Linked DNA regions of Xenopus tropicalis. The protein of the gene in region 1 purifies or fractionates together with the protein of each later gene. This does not show direct contact. Links are inferred from orthologs where the notes say so. Each region holds a gene or a part of one and is shown in the gene's direction. Other genes may lie near its edges.

Region 1 (11,125 bases):
CAGTGAGCTTACAATCTAAGGTCCTTATCCCATTCCCATCAGTCCCTGCCCCAGTGAGCTTACAATCTAAGGTCCCTATCCCATTCCCATCAGTCCCTGCCCCAGTGAGCTTACAATCTAAGGTCCCTATCCCATTCCCATCAGTCCCTGCCCCAGTGAGCTTACAATCTAAGGTCCCTATCCCATTCCCATCAGCCCCTGCCCCAGTGAGCTTACAATCTAAGGTCCCTATCCATTCCCATCAGCCCCTGCCCCAGTGAGCTTACAATCTAAGGTCCCTATCACATTCCCATCAGCCCCTGCCCCAGTGAGCTTACAATCTAAGGTCCCTATCCCATTCCCATCAGTCCCTGCCCCAGTGAGCTTACAATCTAAGGTCCCTATCACATTCCCATCAGTCCCTGCCCCAGTGAGCTTACAATCTAAGGTCCCTATCCCATTCCCATCAGCCCCTGCCCCAGTGAGCTTACAATCTAAGGTCCCTATCCCATTCCCATCAGTCCCTGCCCCAGTGAGCTTACAATCCAAGGGCCCTATCCCATTCCCATCAGCCCCTGCCCCAGTGAGCTTACAATCTAAGGGCCCTATCCCATTCCCATCAGCCCCTGCCCCAGTGAGCTTACAATCTAAGGTCCCTATCCCATTCCCATCAGCCCCTGCCCCAGTGAGCTTACAATCTAAGGTCCCTATCCCATTCCCATCAGTCCCTGCCCCAGTGAGCTTACAATCTAAGGTCCCTATCACATTCCCATCAGTCCCTGCCCCAGTGAGCTTACAATCTAAGGTCCCTATCCCATTCCCATCAGCCCCTTGCCCCAGTGAGCTTACAATCTAAGGTCCCTATCCCATTCCCATCAGCCCCTGCCCCAGTGAGCTTACAATCTAAGGCCCCTATACCATTCCCATCAGTCCCTGCCCCAGTGAGCTTACAATCTAAGGCCCCATACCATTCCCATCAGCCCCTGCCCCAGTGAGCTTACAATCTAAGGTCCCTATCCCATTCCCATCAGCCCCTGCCCCAGTGAGCTTACAATCTAAGGCCCCTATACCATTCCCATCAGCCCCTGCCCCAGTGAGCTTACAATCTAAGGTCCCTATCCCATTCCCATCAGTCCCTGCCCCAGTGAGCTTACAATCTAAGGTCCCTATCCCATTCCCATCAGTCCCTGCCCCAGTGAGCTTACAATCTAAGGTCCCTATCCCATTCCCATCAGTCCCTGCCCCAGTGAGCTTACAATCTAAGGTCCCCATCACATTCCCCTCAGTCCCAGTGAGCTTACAATTCAATGTAACCAGTTGTACCTATGGAGTGCAGTATATATTTCATATCCATGGTACTTACCCTTTGCCCCCTGGGCTGGGGTGATGCAGGGATGGGGGGAACACAATGGCCGTTACAGACGAGATGCAGGGAGTCTGGATGCACCTGGGGTGTCTCCTTTTCTCACCATTCTGACCTTACAGGGAGAGAGAAGACATGTTGGTGCCGGGGCTACACAAGCAGTAGGGCAGCTCCCACCTCTCATACTATTCAGACTCATGAACTGTAGAACCCCCCCCCCCCCCCACCTTCCATTTCCCTCAAATTCTCTTCCCAGTTCTACTCCCCAAATCCTGCCCCCCCTGCACTCCCGTCCCACAAGTCCTAGGGTGCCCCTGGGTACCCCTGTGTCCTTCCCTACTCACCTCCCGTCACAGGCCTGAGCAGCTCATCGCTACCCCATTAATCGTACGTTTTGCCCTTTCATGCTGTTTGGTCCCTGCCGCTTTCTGTTTTTAGTAGATCTTATCCAGGGGGGCGGGCACTAATCGCCTGGAGATACAGTGATTGGCTAATTTAATAGATGAGCAGGAAGATACTGTGAGCGAATATCCGCTACAAGAGGGCTTTGCGCTGTAGGGAGCCGGACCTCTAGCAGCGAAACGTCTGTGAAATACAGTTTTCCAGTCGGAATTATATTCAGGGCGGCCCTTTGCACCGGAAGTGACGTCCTTGACAGGTTCTCAGAAGGCATGCGCGTAGCGTCACCTGCGGTTTCAGCTGAGTTTGGCTTCACTGACGGGACCAGGGCGGAAACGGAAGGGCTGGGAGCTCTGGGACCGAATCTGCCGCTTGTGGGGTGACAGGGTAAGTACGGGCAATGGCTGGCACCCTCACTCACTGGCACCCTCACTCACTGGCACCCTCACTCACTCACTCACTCACCGGCACCCTCACTCCTACATACACTCACTGACTGACTGGCACCCTCACTCCTACATACACTCACTCACTGACTGGCACCCTCACTCTTACATACACTCACTCACTGACTGGCACCCTCCCTCTTACATACACTCACTGACTGACTGGCACCCTCACTCCTACACTCACTCACTGACTGACTGGCACCCTCCCTCTTACATACACTCACTCACTGACTGGCACCCTCACTCCTACATACACTCACTCACTGACTGGCACCCTCCCTCTTACATACACTCACTCACTGACTGGCACCCTCACTCCTACATACACTCACTCACTGACTGGCACCCTCCCTCTTACATACACTCACTCACTGACTGGCACCCTCACTCCTACATACACTCACTCACTGACTGGCACCCTCACTCCTACATACACTCACTGACTGACTGGCACCCTCACTCCTACATACACTCACTCACTGACTGGCACCCTCCCTCTTACATACACTCACTCACTGACTGGCACCCTCCCTCTTACATACACTCACTCACTGACTGGCACCCTCACTCCTACATACACTCACTCACTGACTGGCACCCTCCCTCTTACATACACTCACTGACTGACTGGCACCCTCACTCCTACATACACTCACTGACTGACTGGCACCCTCCCTCTTACATACACTCACTGACTGACTGGCACCCTCACTCCTACATACACTCACTGACTGACTGGCACCCTCACTCACTGACTGGCACCCTCCCTCTTACATACACTCACTCACTGACTGGCACCCTCCCTCTTACATACACTCACTGACTGACTGGCACCCTCACTCCTACATACACTCACTCACTGACTGGCACCCTCACTCCTACATACACTCACTGACTGACTGGCACCCTCACTCCTACATACACTCACTCACTGACTGGCACCCTCACTCCTACATACACTCACTGACTGACTGGCACCCTCACTCCTACATACACTCACTGACTGACTGGCACCCTCACTCCTACATACACTCACTGACTGACTGGCACCCTCACTCCTACATACACTCACTGACTGACTGGCACCCTCACTCCTACATACACTCACTCACTGACTGGCACCCTCACTCCTACATACACTCACTCACTGACTGGTACCCTCACTCCTACATACACTCACTCACTGACTGGCACCCTCACTCCTACATACACTCACTCACTGACTGGCACCCTCACTCCTACATACACTCACTCACTGACTGGCACCCTCACTCCTACATACACTCACTCACTGACTGGCACCCTCACTCCTACATACACTCACTGACTGACTGGCACCCTCACTCCTACATACACTCACTGACTGACTGGCACCCTCACTCCTACATACACTCACTCACTGACTGGCACCCTCACTCCTACATACACTCACTGACTGACTGGCACCCTCACTCCTACATACACTCACTGACTGACTGGCACCCTCACTCCTACATACACTCACTGACTGACTGGCACCCTCACTCACTCACTGGGCACCCTCACTCTTACATACACTCACTCACTGACTGGCACCCTCCCTCTTACATACACTCACTCACTGACTGGCACCCTCACTCTTACATACACTCACTCACTGACTGGCACCCTCACTCCTACATACACTCACTGACTGACTGGCACCCTCCCTCTTACATACACTCACTGACTGACTGGCACCCTCACTCCTACATACACTCACTCACTGACTGACTGGCACCCTCACTCCTACATACACTCACTGACTGACTGGCACCCTCACTCCTACATACACTCACTGACTGACTGGCACCCTCACTCCTACATACACTCACTGACTGACTGGCACCCTCACTCACTCACTGGCACCCTCACTCTTACATACACTCACTCACTGACTGGCACCCTCCCTCTTACATACACTCACTGACTGACTGGCACCCTCACTCTTACATACACTCACTCACTGACTGGCACCCTCACTCCTACATACACTCACTGACTGACTGGCACCCTCCCTCTTACATACACTCACTGACTGACTGGCACCCTCACTCCTACATACACTCACTGACTGACTGGCACCCTCCCTCTTACATACACTCACTCACTGACTGGCACCCTCACTCCTACATACACTCACTGACTGACTGGCACCCTCACTCACTCACTGGCACCCTCACTCTTACATACACTCACTCACTGACTGGCACCCTCCCTCTTACATACACTCACTCACTGACTGGCACCCTCACTCTTACATACACTCACTGACTGACTGGCACCCTCACTCCTACATACACTCACTGACTGACTGGCACCCTCACTCTTACATACACTCACTGACTGACTGGCACCCTCCCTCTTACATACACTCACTGACTGACTGGCACCCTCCCTCTTACATACACTCACTCACTGACTGGCACCCTCACTCCTACATACACTCACTCACTGACTGGCACCCTCCCTCTTACATACGCTCACTCACTGACTGGCACCCTCACTCCTACATACACTCACTGACTGACTGGCACCCTCACTCCTACATACACTCACTGACTGACTGGCACCCTCACTCTTACATACACTCACTCACTGACTGGCACCCTCACTCTTACATACACTCACTGACTGACTGGCACCCTCACTCTTACAAACACTCACTGACTGACTGGCACCCTCACTCCTACACTCACTGACTGACTGGCACCCTCACTCCTACATACACTCACTCACTGACTGGCACCCTCACTCCTACACTCACTCACTGACTGGCACCCTCACTCCTACACTCACTGACTGACTGGCACCCTCACTCCTACACTCACTGACTGACTGGCACCCTCACTCCTACACTCACTGACTGACTGGCACCCTCACTCCTACACTCACTGACTGACTGGCACCCTCACTCCTACACTCACTGACTGACCGGCACCCTCACTCCTACATACACTCACTGACTGGCACCCTCACTCCTACATACACTCACTCACTGACTGGCACCCTCACTCCTACATACACTCACTCACTGACTGGCACCCTCACTCCTACATACACTCACTGACTGACTGGCACCCTCACTCCTACACTCACTGACTGACTGGCACCCTCACTCCTACACTCACTGACTGACTGGTACCCTCACTCCTACACTCACTGACTGACTGGCACCCTCACTCCTACACTCACTGACTGACTGGCGCCCTCACTCCTACACTCACTGACTGACTGGCACCCTCACTCACACACTCCTGTTCTTCCCAGGAACCATGAGCTGTACCATAGAGAAGGTTCTGGCCGACGCTAAAGCCTTAGTGGAGCGACTGCGGGAACACGATGGGGCGGCAGAAGTGCTTATTGAGCAGACGACTACGCTGAATAAACGAGTGGAAGCCATGAAACAGGTAATGCCCAACCCACAGCCTTTATCTACTGGTGCCCAGCGGGCCCCTTGCTTTTAAATCTGCAGCCCTCCAGCTTGTGTAGACTACAACTCCCTGCATCCCCGTGGCTGTTGGGGAGTTGTCCCCGCTTAAAGCTGGAGGCTCAGGACAGAGGAAGGTGCTGAAATGTCAGCCTGCAATTGAGTATGAGTGTGAGTGTGACACGACCTGTTGCTGCATTTACAGTACCAAGAGGAGGTCCAGGAGCTGAATGAGATCGCGCGGCACCGCCCACGTTCTACTCTGGTCCTTGGCATCCAGCAAGAGAACCGGCAAATTCGCCAACTTCAGCAGGAAAACAAAGGTTGGATTCGCCAGCTTATCTGCCCATGTATGGGCTCCCCTGCCAGGCCTGCCTGGCCAATGTCTGGCCTAAAATTGGGCAGATCCTGATAGGGCAGGTTTGATTTTCCTGTCCAATGGCGCCTATGGGCTCGATGTATTTATATAGTGCATTATATATTGAATTAGCATGATATGTGGCATATAGGGAGAAGATTCACCTTTTAAGTTAACTTTTAGTATGATGTAGAGAGTTTGCAATTGGTCTTAATTTTTTATTATTTGTAGTTTTATAGTTATTTCCTTTTCAGTTTAGGAGCTCTGCAGTTTGGAATTTCAGCAGCTATTTGGTTGCTAGGGTCCGAGTTACCTTAGCAACCAGGGAGTAGTTTGGATGGGAGACAGGTATATGAATAGGGGAGGGGCTGAATAGAAAGATAAGGAATAAAAAGTAACAATAACAATAAATCTGGAGCCTCACAGAGCAATAGGGTTTGGCTCCCGGGGTCAGTGACCCCCTTTTGAAAGCTGCAAAGAGTCAGAAGAAGAAGGCAAATCATTCAAAAACTATAAGAAATAAATAATGAAGACCAATTGAAAAGTTGCTTAGAGTAGGTCATTCTATAACATACTTAAAGGTGAGGGGGCTAGTGCAGAGATGTAACAAAGCTGATCCCTGTGTCTCACAGAGTTACGCACCTCCCTAAAGGAGCACCAGTCGGCCCTGGAACTCATCATGAGTAAGTACCGGGAGCAGATGTTCCGCCTGCTGATGGCCAGCAAAAAGGACGACCCCGGCATTATTATGAAGCTGAAAGAGCAACATTCCAAGGTACATTCTCTCCCTGAGGTAGGTGGGAAAGGGTTAAACTTAGGGCAAACCCCACTGACCCCCAATAAACTGACTTATTAGCACATTAATCAGTGCAACTATGTATATGAACTATTTATATTGTGTGCACAAGGGGCGTGGCCAAAACAAGGGGCGTGGCTAAAATATTGGTACTACACGCTTGTGTTCATGGTGGGGGGCATTTAAATGAACTTGTGCGGGGCCCCAAGGTTTCTGATGCCGTAAGTGCAGGTAACTACCAAAGCTTTGTAATTCAGGGGGGGCCAACCCCCAATTTAAAGTGCAGAATTATCAAATGGGAAAATTAACGACCGTCCCCCTGATTGTCCCCCCCGTGTAGGAGCTTCAGGCCCACATAGAGAAAATCACCGAAATGACTGCGGTAATGAAACGGGCCATTGAAATCGACGAGCAGCAGGGTAACCAAGAGCACGACCGCATCGTTAAACTGGAGGTAGGTACCTGCCGGCTGTGAGACTGCTCAGTCAGTAGAAGGCTCGGCAAAGAGACAACGCCATTGGTTACAGAGCCAGGGGGTTGGGCTTAATGCACCACTAACACCGAATCCTTTGCAAAAGATTTGGCCGAATACTGCACTGAATCCTAATCCTAACTTGCATAAGCAAGGGTTAAAGGGGCGGTAGCTTTTAGTACGTTATAGAATGGCCAATTCCAAGCAACTTTTCAATTGGTCTTCATTATTTATTTCTTATAGTTTGTACATTATTTGCCTTCCTCTTCTCTTTGCAGCTTTCAAATGGGGGTCACTGACCCCGGCAGCCAAACCCTATTGCTCTGTGAGGCTCCAGTTTTATTGTTATTGTTACTTTTTATTCCTTATCTTTCTATTCAGCCCCTCCCCTATTCATATACCAGTTTCTCATCCCTGGTTGCCAAGGTAATTTGGACCCTAGCAACAGGATAACTGACCCCGGCAGCCAAAACCTATTGCTCTGTGAGGCTCCAGTTTTATTGTTATTGTTACTTTTTATTCCTTATCTTTCTATTCAGCCCCTCCCCTATTCATATATTATCCTCTCATTCTAACTGCTTCCTGGTCCCTAAGGTAATTAGGACCCTAGCAACCAGCTAGCTGCCAAAACTCCAAACTGCAGAGCTTCTAAACAAAAACTGAAATAATTAAAAAACTACATATAATAAAAAATGAAGACCAATTGCAAATGATCTCAGAATATCACTCTCTAGATCAGGCTAAACTCAAAGGGGAACATCCCCTTTAAGGAAGTAAAAGGTGAGGGATATGTAAGACGGTTGATGCTGATTGGCTGAAATGAGCTTTTCTTTACCCGCAGCAGGAAAACAAGTGGCTGAGGAAAACCCTACAGATCACCCGAGCATCTTTCCTTAATCTGCACAAAGAAGACGCGGCGGAAAGCTCCTCCCACTCTGCGTCGTCGGTCCCCAACACCGACCTGAGCTTAAGGAAAAGCTGAGCGCCCCCCCCCCCGGGCCCCCCAGTTTCTACCTGTTGTACGGGCGGAACCAGCCGGTGCCATTGGATCACTGGGTGTTTGAGCAGCAGCACCCGGAATGTAAATAGCGGCTACATTTTATGTCTGTGTGTGCGCCGGATCAGCGCCGTTTCCTATTGGTCCTCCGGCGACTCCAGAAGGTGAGAGAGCTTATATTTTAACTCGTTCTGGAGCAAAAGGAAATATTTTATGAAAACCCGAAGTCCATGAAGTGCTGTTTTATAGAATATATGGATATATTGTATCCACAAACATTCCAGCGATCCTTATATTACTGTGCTAGGGGGTAAAATGGCTGCATTTGCTTGTATTGCTCTCCGTATGCAAACAATACAATCCCATTGGCTGGCAATATCATTCCTGGGAATTGGCCAATGATGAATGAGCAGGGGCACCCTAACCAATAAGGGCCACCCAGCAAAAAAAAAACTGTTTTTGCAACACCCCCAAGTGAACACAGTCAGGATACTGAGTCTGTGACAGTAGAGCTGTCCCTGGTGCATACTTACCTTTGCCTAAACCAACAATAAAATGTTCATGGTTTCTTCTACGGTTTGTACTCAAATTATTATCTTTTTATTCTGCAGCCCATTACAGAGCCTGTTCCTGCTGAATTGTGCTTAGTACAGGGGAATCCCTATGTGCCATAGTTTTATGGTATCTCTCTGTACAGGCTATGAGCAAACTTAGGGGGCTGTTCCTGCTGAATTGTGCTTAGTACAGGGGAATCCCTATGTGCCATAGTTTTATGGTATCTCTCTGTACAGGCTATGGGCAAACTTAGGGGGCTGTTCCTGCTGAATTGTGCTTAGTACAGGGGAATCCCTATGTGCCATAGTTTTATGGTATCTCTCTGTACAGGCTATGAGCAAACTTAGGGGGCTGTTCCTGCTGAATTGTGCTTAGTACAGGGGAATCCCTATGTGCCATAGTTTTATGGTATCTCTCTGTACAGGCTATGAGCAAACTTAGGGGGCTGTTCCTGCTGAATTGTGCTCAGTACAGGGGAATCCCTATGTGCCATAGTTTTATGGTATCTCTCTGTACAGGCTATGGGCAAACTTAGGGGGGCTGTTCCTGCTGAATTGTGCTTAGTACAGGGGAATCCCTATGTGCCATAGTTTTATGGTATCTCTCTGTACAGGCTATGGGCAAACTTAGGGGGCTGTTCCTGCTGAATTGTGCTTAGTACAGGGGAATCCCTATGTGCCATAGTTTTATGGTATCTCTCTGTACAGGCTATGGGCAAACTTAGGGGGCTGTTCCTGCTGAATACACAGCACCAATAAGACACAAGGGAGTAATTCTCATCCAACACAGAAGTCTAATTGGCTTTTAATGGTTAAAGGCAAAGCACAAAGCAATTAAAACAAAATGAGTGCAAGTAGAAAGGCACAGTGTCGTTCCAAGCTCCTAAACAAGTCCCATATAGGCTGGGAGAGAATAGTAACGCCCCCTCCCAGCCAACCAATCAAAATCCAGTAAATATACAATACAGAACTTTCACATTAGAGAGGCCCTGCTGTGCTACCTGCACTCTCAGAGCAAGGCACTGGCATACTGTCCCTTTGGGGGTAGTTAGAGATTTCCAGCCTGGAGGGGGGGGGGCAGAAAATGCCCATTAACTCATTGCTGACCGGGTCGGTTCCAGCGCTGTAAACATAGGTTTAGGGGTGTATTTATTAACATTGGAGACAAACATCACCGATGGTGTTGTCCATAGCAACCAATCACATCTCTGCTTTAGTTTTTTCAACCATTGAAATCTGATTGGTTGCTATGGGGAACATCTCCAGTGTTAATAAATATACGCCCCTCAGTACAGATCCGGGTTATTGGTGCTAAGGAGGACGGGGTAGGCGGTGCCTATGTAACGCCCGTGGCGATTCACCACGATCTGCATTTCGTATTCCTCCACGCGGACGACCTCTCGGGTCATTTTCTCCTGGGACGTGAGGAAGACGACGGTGTAAAGGGCAAACTCGAACTCCGGGCTGACCCCGATGAAGCTGCTCCCTATGGGCTTCACCATCTCCTTCCAGCTGAACTGCAGGTTCAGAACTTGGTCGTCATGGTCCGGCTGCGGAGCGACAGAGAGAGCGGTATTAATGCACTGCCGTAAAGCAAGACACTGCTGCCGAAAAAAAGTCAAAAGTGATCTAGGAAGAAATTCACCCCCAGGAAACACGGCTCAGGATATGGAGTGTTAGCGCGTGTAACGTGTCCCTCCCCCTAGCGGTGGGCGACTTACCCGGCTCTTGTTCTGCCGCCCCACGTAGCCTTTGTAGTCGATGGTTTTCCTCTTCTCCTGGAGGTAGAACTGGACCCAGTTGTGGAGCCCCATTATCTCCTTCCCTCGCTTGGATTCCCCCACAAACACGTGCTCAAAGCCGCAGGAATCGGGTCTGGAAGGCAAGGCGAATGGTTGAACTACAACTGTACCTTGGAATGGTGGAACTACAACTCTTAACTGCCATTTTAATGGCCACCAGTGGTAGAAAGTGCCTCCTTGTTGCCCTGCTAGCCTACCTACTGCTGTGTGATACCCCTGGCTATTTCTTGCATAGGGGCAACACCAGCAAGGCACCCTGGTACCTACCCCTGCCCCGGCGCCCGGGAGTACAGCTGGAACCAAATGGTGTAGAGTTGGGCCTTGAAGTCGTTACGGCTGGGTTTGGCCTGGTTCTTCCTCACCAAGTAGTCATGTGCGATCTGTGGGGCAGAGAGAGGGGCCGTTAGGGCTTTGCCGAAGGGGCTAATGGGCCAATATGGCTCTGCCGGGGACCACTCACCTTCATCACTTTGGTTTCCAGAATAGCATCCAGGAAGGTGTTGTTTTC
Region 2 (10,620 bases), on another chromosome or scaffold:
AAAGCTGGTTTACAGGTGCAGATTGGGAACACAAGGTTTTTAAAGCTTTCTGTATTTAAAGATCTTTGCATAGTTTAAAGTGCAGGGTTTGGTCATACAGAGCTGCATTTGTAAGCCTGAGTTATTTCCTGGGTTGTTTAGGGCTGTTTTCATGTACTTTAGCTCGTCACACCCTCTTTTCTAAATTAGACAGGTTGTTACTTAATGCCGTCATTCGTGCAGGAATAAATACAGAGGATACACACTTCTTGTGAAGATTCAGTGAAGTGCTTTATAGTATGTTATGTAGAGTTTGCATCTCTCTTTTATAAGACTTTACTAAAGTAGCATAAATAGCAAAGGCTTTCCAGGGGTGAAGGAGCTGAATGCATGATTTGACTGCTAATGCTTAGCACCGAGAGTTTATGGCTATTTCTTTATCTACAGTATCTCTCTGTATCATCATGTTATTTCAGCCCATACTGTTTTAATTATTTTGTTCTTGTCCCAGTCCCTGACAAGCATACCAGTCTTTGTTTGCTCTGCCTTTTTCGATGTATGTGGTGATCTGAAACATAATTTTCCTAAGTTTCACCTGCATACTTTGTCATTACACTTGATCTGTGCTCACTGAAAGGGGTGTCGCCACCATCCCAATAGCAGTTGCAATCTTGGAACTTCAGAGACTTTGGGGTATGCTTAGGAGAGACACATGTTGATCTGAAATATTGCTTCATAAAGGTATGCTGCTATATACACCACTATAGTGCAGCACTTACTAAACTGCTTAATTTTGGTAAGGGCCTGGGTACATGGATCATTTGCACCTCTTCTCTTGGCCTGCTTTTTTTCTTCAGGCTGAGAGAAACTGATCTGCTCCCATATGTCACTCTGTGTACCGGCACTAAAAAGTATAGCTTCCACCTTAGTGCAGATACAGGAAGTGGAGGTCTGAAAAAAGCGAAAGCGTGGTTTTTCTGGCCAAGCTCTCCTACACTTCATGTATCTGCACTCAGGTGTAAGCTGTTCTTTTCAGTGCAGGTACACGGAGTGGCGTATAGGAGCAAATCCGCTACTCTCAGTCTGAAGAATTAATGTAGACTGAGAGAAGCTGAGCAAACACTCCATGTGTCCAGGTCCTAACTGTATTTTAGCCTGTACCAACCCAGTAACTCTTATTTGTTAGGCCTACACATGTGTACACTTCTCAGTGAGCCAGCAGTATTTTACAGCTCTTGTGTTTGTAAAACTTTGCCCTTTCCTACACAGCCTGCTTGCGTTGATCACCGATTTAATTGACTAGTTTCCCAAGCAGCTGCATACAAATTTAGACCCGGAAGGGGAATGGCACTAGTGCTAATATTTCACAAGTGCTAGGAAAATAGCAGTTAATGAAGACAGTTAAGCAATGGCAAGGCTCAAGGCACTGGATTATCTGCAATTAACAATGAAGAAGCTGGGAAACCAAGAAAACAAGTTTGTTTGCAACTGATAGTTTGTTACTTCCAATTTTAAATATGTTGTAGCCTTTTATTTCTCCGACTCCTTTGGACTTCTCAATTCTATATCGGAAAGGCTTAACTCTATCTCTCCTCTCTTGATCTCAATTCAGAACTCTTAAGTGGGTTGTTCACCTTTAATGTCCGAATCTTATTAAACCACCAACAGTGCTCTCAGAGTATCATAAAATCCAATTTTTCATAAAAAAGTAAAAAGGCCACTGTAAAATCTACCTTTTATACCTGTTAAATCAGTCCTTCTGTCTCTCTGACCAGTTTTCTGAAGAGATGGGAGTGGCCTATTTTGAACCTGAGAACTTCCTATATCTTTACATCACCACTCCTAGGCTTTGTCCTTAATTTTTTCCTATTGGACCAATTCATTGGCTGCCTGTGCACTCTAATCAGACTCTGCATATCTAATCTAACCCCCCCATAGGCTCTGTGCAGAAGTGATGGATTAGCAGAGAGATGATTCTGAGGTGAATTTATCTTCAGCTGCAAATTTTTTGTTAACTATTTATATGGCAAAGATTGTTCTATTAATGTGAACTGTTACATTTGGGAATGTTTTACAGGTATGGGACCTGTTATACAGAATGCTCTGGACCTGGGGTTTTCCGGATAAAGGATCTTTCCATAATTTGTATCTCCATAACTTAAGTCAGCTAAAAATAATTTAAATATCAAATAAACCCAATACGCTTGTATTGCCTCCAATAAGGATTCATTATATCTTAGTTGGGATCAAGTACAAAGTACTGTTTTATTACAGAGAAAAAGGAAATTATTTTCAAAAATTAGAATTATTTGCTTATAATGGAGTCTATGGTAGATGGCCTTTCCGTAATTCGGAGCTTTCTGGATAACTGGTTTCCGGATAAGGGATCCCATACCTGTACAAAGGTGAACTACCCCTTTAATGCGGGTCTCTTCCTGCTTATCTGCTTTCTCAGAAATCGCAGAAGTGTCCTCTCAAGGCAACTTCCACGATTTCGGGAAATTGCGGCGCCGCGTATGCGTATTTCCGGGAAATTAGACGCCCGTAACAAGGGAGATTTGTCGCGGGCGACTAATCTCCCCCGTGTGCCACAGCCCTTACTCCATATCCAGTCACTCATTAAATCATGTCACTTTCACCTGAGCAATATTGCCATAATGTGATCATTTATCACCAATGCTACCAAAATTATGATTTACTTTCTCATCATGTTATGCTTTGATTACTGATTAACTGGCCTTCCCCTGCAAAGTCACCTTTCCAGTTTATAAGAAATAGTGGCTCTAGGTTCATGTACCTCAGTAACTGACCTCTTCTGCCATGACCCTCACATTCAATAACTCTGCCCCACTCTACATCTCTGAAAGCCTCTGCAGATATTCCCCAAACCAACTTTTTATGTTTATCTAATATCCCCCTCCTCACACGAGCTGCATACTTTCTTTGGAATTCTCTCCCACCGCCTGTCCAACTCTCTTGCAATCTTTCTGCCTTTAAAATATCTTTTAAAACACATTTCTTTAGAGAGGCTTTCCCTCATCTAGCTTAGCATAGCTTCACTGTGCACTATATACTGCTAAATGCAATGTTCCGTTCCACATCTTTCACCTGATATTGCCCGTCCTTAACACCTTAACCCCTTCTCCTTTTAGATTGCAAGATCTTTTGGACAGGGCCCTCTTTGCCTCTTGTATTGGTTGTTTTTTTTTTAATATATAATGTATGCATCCTTTTCTACAGTGCTGTGAAATTTGTTGGCATTTTATAAATAAGTGTTTTATGTCTCAATGCCCTGGAGTTTTGTCTAGAATGTTGTGTAATGTCTGGTTTGGCACATTCCAAAATGTTATCTGCTAATACACCTATTTGGGAAGTACATTGCCATATGAAAATACTTGTTGGCCTAAAAGAGAACATTGGAAGGTAGGCATACATTTATATCTTTCATATGGCTTTGATCGATTAGGCTGGCCAGTCTGACAAATACCATAGAGCAGTGCTGTCCAACTGGCGGCCCGCGACCCCCCTCTGTGTGGCCCCCCCCACCTGTCTGGCTGCTTTGATGGCTTACCTTTGTGTAAGCTTTAAAGGAGAAGGAAAGGCTAAGTCACTTGGGGGTGCCAAAATGTTAGGCACCCCCAAGTGACTTACATGACCTACCTTGTACCCCGGGCTGGTGCCCCCGTTAGGAGAAAACAGCACCAGCCCGGGGCACCTGTAGACACCGCTTCCTCCTTCCTTTGCGCGCTGCTGCCGAAATCCGTGGGCCGGCGCATGCGCAGTAGAGTGAAAAGCCGACTTTAATGTTTAAGTTCGGCTTTTCACTCTACTGCGCATGCGCGCGCAAGCGAGGAGGAAGCAGGTAGCGCCGGCAGCTGCCCCGGGCTGGTGCTGTTCTCTCCGTACGGGGGCACCAGCCCGGGGTACAAGGTAGGCGTTCTAAGTCACTTGGGGCCTAACATTTTGGCACCCCCAAGTGACTTAACCTTTCCTTCTCCTTTAAATGGTATCAGTACTGCCCCCCTGCATGGTTAACACCTCAGATTCAGGCTGTAAACCCCCTGTATTGTTTAAAAATGTAATCCACTGTATTATTCACCCCCTGCAGTGTTCACACCTCAGGCTCAGGCTGTAATCACCCACATTGTTCACCTGTTCACACCTCAGACTGTAGGAGCACTAGAAACCCACAAATAAACCTGCACACTATAAAAAGAACATATACTGTGGTGGTACTGCAATTAAAAAGGTTTTTTAATATATAGTTATTGTGCAGACTGTGGGAGCAGTGCCAGCATTGCGTCACTGTAGGCTGCCTGTGTGTGCCATACTCTGCCTACCCTATTGCTGCCTGTATGTGCCATACACACAGGCAGGGTAGGGAAGGCAGAGTAGGGCACACACACACACACACACACACACACACACACACAGGCAGGGTAGGGCACACACGCAGGCAGAGTATGGCACACACAGGCAGGGTAGGGAAGGCAGAGTATGGCAGGTTTTTGCTGTACTACCACCATAAATATGGATATGGTCATGCGATAACATGGGTGTGGTTTTAAAAAGGGAGGTGGTCAAAACTAGCTTCCATTATCGGCCCTCCACCACGGAGGCCGGAAAAATTCCGGCCCTCGGTAACACAGAAGTTGGACAGCACTGCCATAGAGGACTGACCCCATGTATGGGCACCTTTAGTCAGATTTCCCTATGCTGCACCACAAAATCTGCATTCCCTATACATTTTTCCCTCAACTAAACCATTTATAGAAAAACCTAATCAAAAAAACATTTTCAAAAACGTTTAAAGGAGCATACCTGCTTACTAATCTTAAGTTCATTGGTTAGGGCTTGTGCTGTTTTTTTTTTTTTTTTTTTTTTTATTGCCTGCTGTTTCAATTGAAATATGTATGTATTTTTATATCTTTCCCTTAACAGGGGAACTTAAGTCATGTACTGATTCATGTTTGTATAAGCACAATCAAAACAATTGGTACTCCACTAAGAAGCCCCATCTGTATTATGAGCTGCTTTTTATTAAAAAGCCTAACAAAGGCATCTGAGTGGACTGACAGTTTGTTTTAAGTGTGATTGTACAAACAGTGCAATAATGTGAGTTTACATTCAGTTTTAAATGTTGCCCTGTTTAGTGCAAGAATTAGAAAGCAGATATTGTGCCCTTTTAAATAAGGGCAATTAAATGGATTTTCTTTCTTGGGAGCCTGATACATTGAGCTTACAGAAAAGCCATTATTTGACAGATCGGATCAATAGAAAGTCGGCCATGCGTGACTTCATGATTTTGGGTTGGATGCCTACTGATACTGCCTTAAAGGAGAAGGAAAAGCTAAGTCACTTGGGGGTGGCAATATGTTGGGCACCCCCAAGTGACTTGAATCGCTTACCCCGTACCCCGGTCTGGTGCCCCTGTACGGAGAGAACAGCACCAGCCCGGGGTACCTGCAGCACTTCCTCCTTCCTTCTTTGCCGCGCGCGCAGTAGAGTGAAAAGCCGAACTATAACAGAGAAGTCGGCTTTTTCACTCTACTGCGCATGCGCCTGACTCAGTCAAGGCTGAACGGAGCAGGAAGGAGGAAGCGCATCGCTCCAGGTGCCCCGGGCTGGTGCGGTTTTCTCCTAATAGGGGCACCAGCCTGGGGTACGAGGTAAGCGATTCAAGTCACTTGGGGGTGCTTTAACATTTTAGCACCCCCAAGTGACTTAGCCTTTCCTTCCCCTTTAAGGAGATAATTATTCTGCACAGTTGTTTTCCTGGATTTAAAAACACTATAAAAGCTCTTAATATTGGGGAAATAATGCTGTAAATTTGTATCTTATTTATGTTGCTTTTTTTTTTTTTTTTTTTTACCGGTACTTTTAGGAAAACAATTTCTTGATCATATTAGAGCATCAACATCCCACTGAATGAAGTATTCCTGGTTTCCATAGCATCATTTTCTAACTGTACGGTCTCTTTGAATGAGGATGACAATGGAAGAGATGAAGAATGAAGCAGAGACCACTTCTATGGTTTCCATGCCCCTTTATGCAGTTATGTATCCAGTTTTTAATGAGGTTAGTAGATCTTTGTGTCTCAAATTTAGTTTTGTCAACGGGGGGGTAAATAAAAAAAAAAAAAAACTCTGTTTTTCTTGTGTAATCAATTATATCAGGAGTCATGGTAAGGAATGCAGCTTATCTGTTCGTATCTGTCCTAAAGTTGTCCTGCTAAATTATGCTTGGTACAGGGAATACCTTTGCTTTAAGGGCTCTGGCACACGGGGAGATTAGTCGCCCGTGATAAATCTCCCTTTTCGCGGGCGACTAATCTCCCCAAATTGCCATCCCACCAGCGAAAATGTAAAATTGCGGCGCCGCGTATGCCATCCCACCGGCGATTAACATTCTCGCCGGAGGGATGGCATTTCGGGGAGATTAGTCGTCCGCGAACAGGGAGATTTGTCGCGGGCGACTAATCTCCCCTTGTGCCAGAGCCCTAATAGTGATATGTTCTAGCTCTGTACAGGCTACTGGGGAAGAGATGAGCTGAACAACATTACATTTTCTGATAAAAGCCAGCATGTAGTTGTAGATCAGTGCAGTAGTAATGAGGCACTTTTTAGGCAAAGTTAAATTGTAGGATTACATTCATTAATGTATTTTATTGCTTTTGGGGTGGACAAGTCTAGTTCTTAAAATTATCTGAGCATACCATAAGTCATCTTACTATTTACAGTATTCTCCATTTAAAGAGAAACCTATCTGGTCTTATAGCTGTTTTAAAGGCAGTACGTTATGAGTATGTTTTAACTCCCAATACAATTTCTGGGATATGGAATTTTTTTGTGACTCTTCCCATTTACAATGTATGGTCAGGAAAACATTTGCTTGTTTCTCAATGCATAATGAGGTTTAAATCCTTTGATGCCACAGTGTTATTCCAATTCTCCATGTTCTTCTAAAGTTTCTTCAGTCTGTTAATGTTTTGCATTCTGTCTGCTTTCCCATCCAGCTAGAACATGTAAATCTTTCAGCAGCTCAGACACTACGGGCAGCGTTTATAAAGGTAAATTGTTTCTTCTATCTGCATATCACCCCAGGAAAGGTGCCAGTTTTGACTCGTGGGGCTATTTTACATAGATAGAGATATCCAGGGCTGCCTTATTAACTTTTTCTGAGAAGGCTACCCCCCCAGTGGGACTATGTACACTTGAGCATTTTCAGTCCAAAATTTGCCCCATGGCTGCTGTGATAGACCAATGCAGTCTGCACTTGAGGTATTGGGCACTGTGTGTGACTTTGACCTAGAAAGTTTTATGGAGGTAGTCTGCTCCAAGATTTTTTTTTTTTAAATTCAGAATAGTACTAAATAACTCCTGCTGCTATGACACTGGCACAGTACCTAGTTGGCTGAATCAGGCAAACATCCACCATTTGGCACCATTGCCAAGCGAGTGGATCTTTCTATGTGTGCCCAGAATTGGTATATTCTAACAACTATCACTTAATAAGAGAGACTGTTATTTTCAGGGTAAACTCAGAATAAAATGAATGGAATACAGAGCACTTCATTATTTTGGAAATGTCTGTATTTATTCATTGCTCCTTAGGGCTTAAAAATGGATATCCCGGAATATATGACTCAAAATAACAGCAGTAGTTTACATGAATGGTTTATTTAAACCTCTTCATAACTGAACATACTGGATGTGACTTTTGTTAGACAAGAGCCCCTGTTGAGGGTGCAAATGCTTCTGCAAGTGTTTTCCATAAGAATGTGTGGAGTTCATACCGTTTGAATTATTAAATAGCACAGCCAAGTCCAGCAGACTTTAACACAGAGATTGTTCCTATACCCCTTAGGGTTGAAGTTATATATTGGTTTATTTTCCTTTTAATTTCCCACATCAGAATAGCAATCAAGCATTTGAAATGCAAATGTAATTAAAGATTTTCCTTCTGACCCAAGGGGAGCAGATACCTCTTGTTTGTTTGCCAGGGTGACCTACATTCTCTTCTAGATGTAGCAGATTAACTGTCTGCATCTCTTTCAGACACTTCCAGTGAGTCATTTGCTTAAAGGCATGCTGTGACTGCTGGTCTGCTTTATAGTGGAGCTACACCAACTCAACCAAATTTCTTGTGATTCTGCATTTTGCCCCCCCTCCTTCAGCTGAAAAAACTATCTGTTATATTGACCTGTTCACCACCTTTACAAAAAATTAACTGCTCCATTTGCTCAAAATGTAATCTTCAGAATTTTTGCAATTTACTTTTCTTTGTTTTGCAGTGGTTGAAACTGTTAGTAAGATATCATCCCAAAATCTTGTTTATGTGCCAGAATTCGGTACCTGATGCCCATGCCCAGGCTACACAATTATAGACAGTGGGAGGGAATGAGAGAAGTGCAGTGACATCTAGGAAGTGCAGAATGGAAAGTAAAAGTAATTGCCTGCCCGCCTGAGAAATAGATGTTATTGACAGCAGATATTTTTTGTACCTTTTTATAACATATATGAATTTTTTAATAAAATAATTTGGGTTTTGTGTTTAATTTGGAAAGAACTTTTATTATATAGCTTTATATATCTGGGTGAATTGAAGACACAGCTGCTGAGCTGACAGTCCGATATTGGAATCCCAAAATTACAGATATGTTTAAAATAGCTCATAGAGCAGTCGGGGGGAAATGTAATGATTGGGCAACTTTAAAGGCAATGTAAATATATGTTCTAAAACATTAGCTATTACTTTTAATTTTAAACTTAGAGCAGCATGGTGATGCCCTGGTCTGTTTTTACTGCTTTGCTTTCCAATAGACCATACCCCCATTTTGCCACCGCAGTTGACTTATGCGAAGTAGGCAATTTATAAATGGCTGTATTTGCACCATTGACTTAAAAGTGTTTATTAGAATTATCTTTCTTGTATTCACAACTTTTAATGCTCCAATACACAGACATGAATAAAAATAGGTTGCACACATTCTAATGCTGTCAACATTAGGAAACCAATGTATCTGTTTCTTTATTTCGCAGGCAGAAAAAGAAAATCCGGGGCTCACACAAGATATAATTACAAAAATTCTTGAAAAGAAGAGTGTAGAAGTTAACTTCACTGAGTCTTTGTTGCGCATGGCCGCTGATGATGTTGAAGGTAAACACAAAAACACACATCTCTGTATAAGTGCATCTCCTCAGTTACAACCTTCTCCTGTTCATACACCTCTAGTCTAGGAAGTATAATGATTATTGAGGATTATTGCTGCCTTTGCTATTAAACATCCACATCTTTATTTTTTAGAGTATATGGTTGAACGGCCAGAACCAGAATTCCAGGAATTGAATGAAAAAGCACGGGCACTTAAACAGATCCTTAGCAAGATTCCTGATGAAATTAATGACAGAGTGAGATTCCTACAGACAATCAAGTAAGCACATTATGCACATCTACTAAGCACTGGCATATCCTATGTGCCCATGGGATGCTGTGAGGATTATTTTATTTTTGAAGATTGTATGCAACGTCTAATAAAGAAAGTGATAAAGCGGTTCCTGATACATTAGAACATTATCGTCTCAGGTCAGGTTGTTAGGAGACATCAGCACTAGTTTACCTGGAAAGGGTAAATGTATTAACTGCCCTCTCTTCTTCCTTTTTCTCCTCCCACAAGTACCATAGCTATTTCGTTAATTAAACAGGCAAAAGTATTTTTAGCATAAGCTCTATTCAGTTTGTTAACCCAATGGTTTATAGTGTCCCTTTAAGCTAAAGATAGGAGAGCAAGGAATAAGAAAGAAGTCATGTGCATTTCGAGACTATCCTGGGGAAAGTTCAGGGTAGTTTTTCCCATTTCTGTTAACTTGTGCACCACCCTAAACAAATGCACTTAAAGGAACAGTAACACCAAAAAATGAAAGTGTATAAAAATAATATATACTATTGCTCGGCACTAGTAAAAGTTGTGTGTTTTCTTCATAAACACTACTGCAGTTTATATAAATACCCTGCTGTGTAGCCATGGGGGCAGCCATTTAATTTGAAAAAAGGAGAAAAGGCACAGGTTACTAAGCAGATAACAGATAAGTAGCATAGATTCCCATTGTATTCTACACAGTTTATCTGGTATCTTCTTATGTAACCTGTGCCTTTTCTCCTTTTTTCAATTTAAATGGCTGCCCCCATGGCTACACAGCAGCTATTTCTATTAACTATAGTAGTCTTTCCGAAGCAAACACGCAACTTTTACCAGTGCAGGGCAACAGTACATTATATTTTAATTATTTTAAAACATTTTTATTTTTTAGTGTTACTGTTCCTTTAATATGTTGATGGTAGAACTGCCAGTAGGTTTAAGGCCATGATAAGCCACTCATTGCTGTTCCTAGTGGCTCCGGAATTGTCAAACAAGACTTCTCTTAGTGAAAGCATATTGGATCAATGGAGACTGCTCAGAAGTGGTGTTAGGAAAACTTTATTTCTCAAAGCTTGTAAATTTCTAATCATTATTCAGTTTTTGGACACAATAAGGCTCATTTAGTAATGGCAGGCACTAGGGATGTTAGTGCAACATTGCCCCATTTATCATTCATTGCACATACTGATTGCACCTGGGGCTTGGAAAGATTAGCTACTTTG

The links.
Region 2: the proteins of fgfr1op2 (region 1) and pdcd10 purify together in Homo sapiens (affinity purification with mass spectrometry; 3 studies listed by BioGRID and IntAct, counting the BioPlex papers as one, with this or other methods). This does not show direct contact. The link is inferred for Xenopus tropicalis from reciprocal best matches to the Homo sapiens genes FGFR1OP2 and PDCD10.

The regions. Positions count from the first base shown.
Region 1 is NC_030679.2:2,582,160-2,593,284, forward strand, and holds fgfr1op2 (FGFR1 oncogene partner 2 homolog), read left to right. Parts: upstream 1-2,024; 5' UTR 2,025-2,128; intron 2,129-5,478; 5' UTR 5,479-5,483; coding exon 5,484-5,618; intron 5,619-5,843; coding exon 5,844-5,961; intron 5,962-6,628; coding exon 6,629-6,771; intron 6,772-7,132; coding exon 7,133-7,246; intron 7,247-8,105; coding exon 8,106-8,246; 3' UTR 8,247-8,835; downstream 8,836-11,125. Other genes in the region: endoul (poly(U)-specific endoribonuclease), read right to left, coding at 10,102-10,365, 10,537-10,690, 10,885-10,997, 11,078-11,125. UniProt on the Homo sapiens protein: May be involved in wound healing pathway.
Region 2 is NC_030681.2:112,901,963-112,912,582, forward strand, and holds part of pdcd10 (programmed cell death protein 10), read left to right. Parts: intron 1-5,863; 5' UTR 5,864-5,961; coding exon 5,962-6,057; intron 6,058-6,994; coding exon 6,995-7,048; intron 7,049-9,020; coding exon 9,021-9,138; intron 9,139-9,285; coding exon 9,286-9,412; intron 9,413-10,620. UniProt on the Homo sapiens protein: Promotes cell proliferation. Modulates apoptotic pathways. Increases mitogen-activated protein kinase activity and STK26 activity. Important for cell migration, and for normal structure and assembly of the Golgi complex.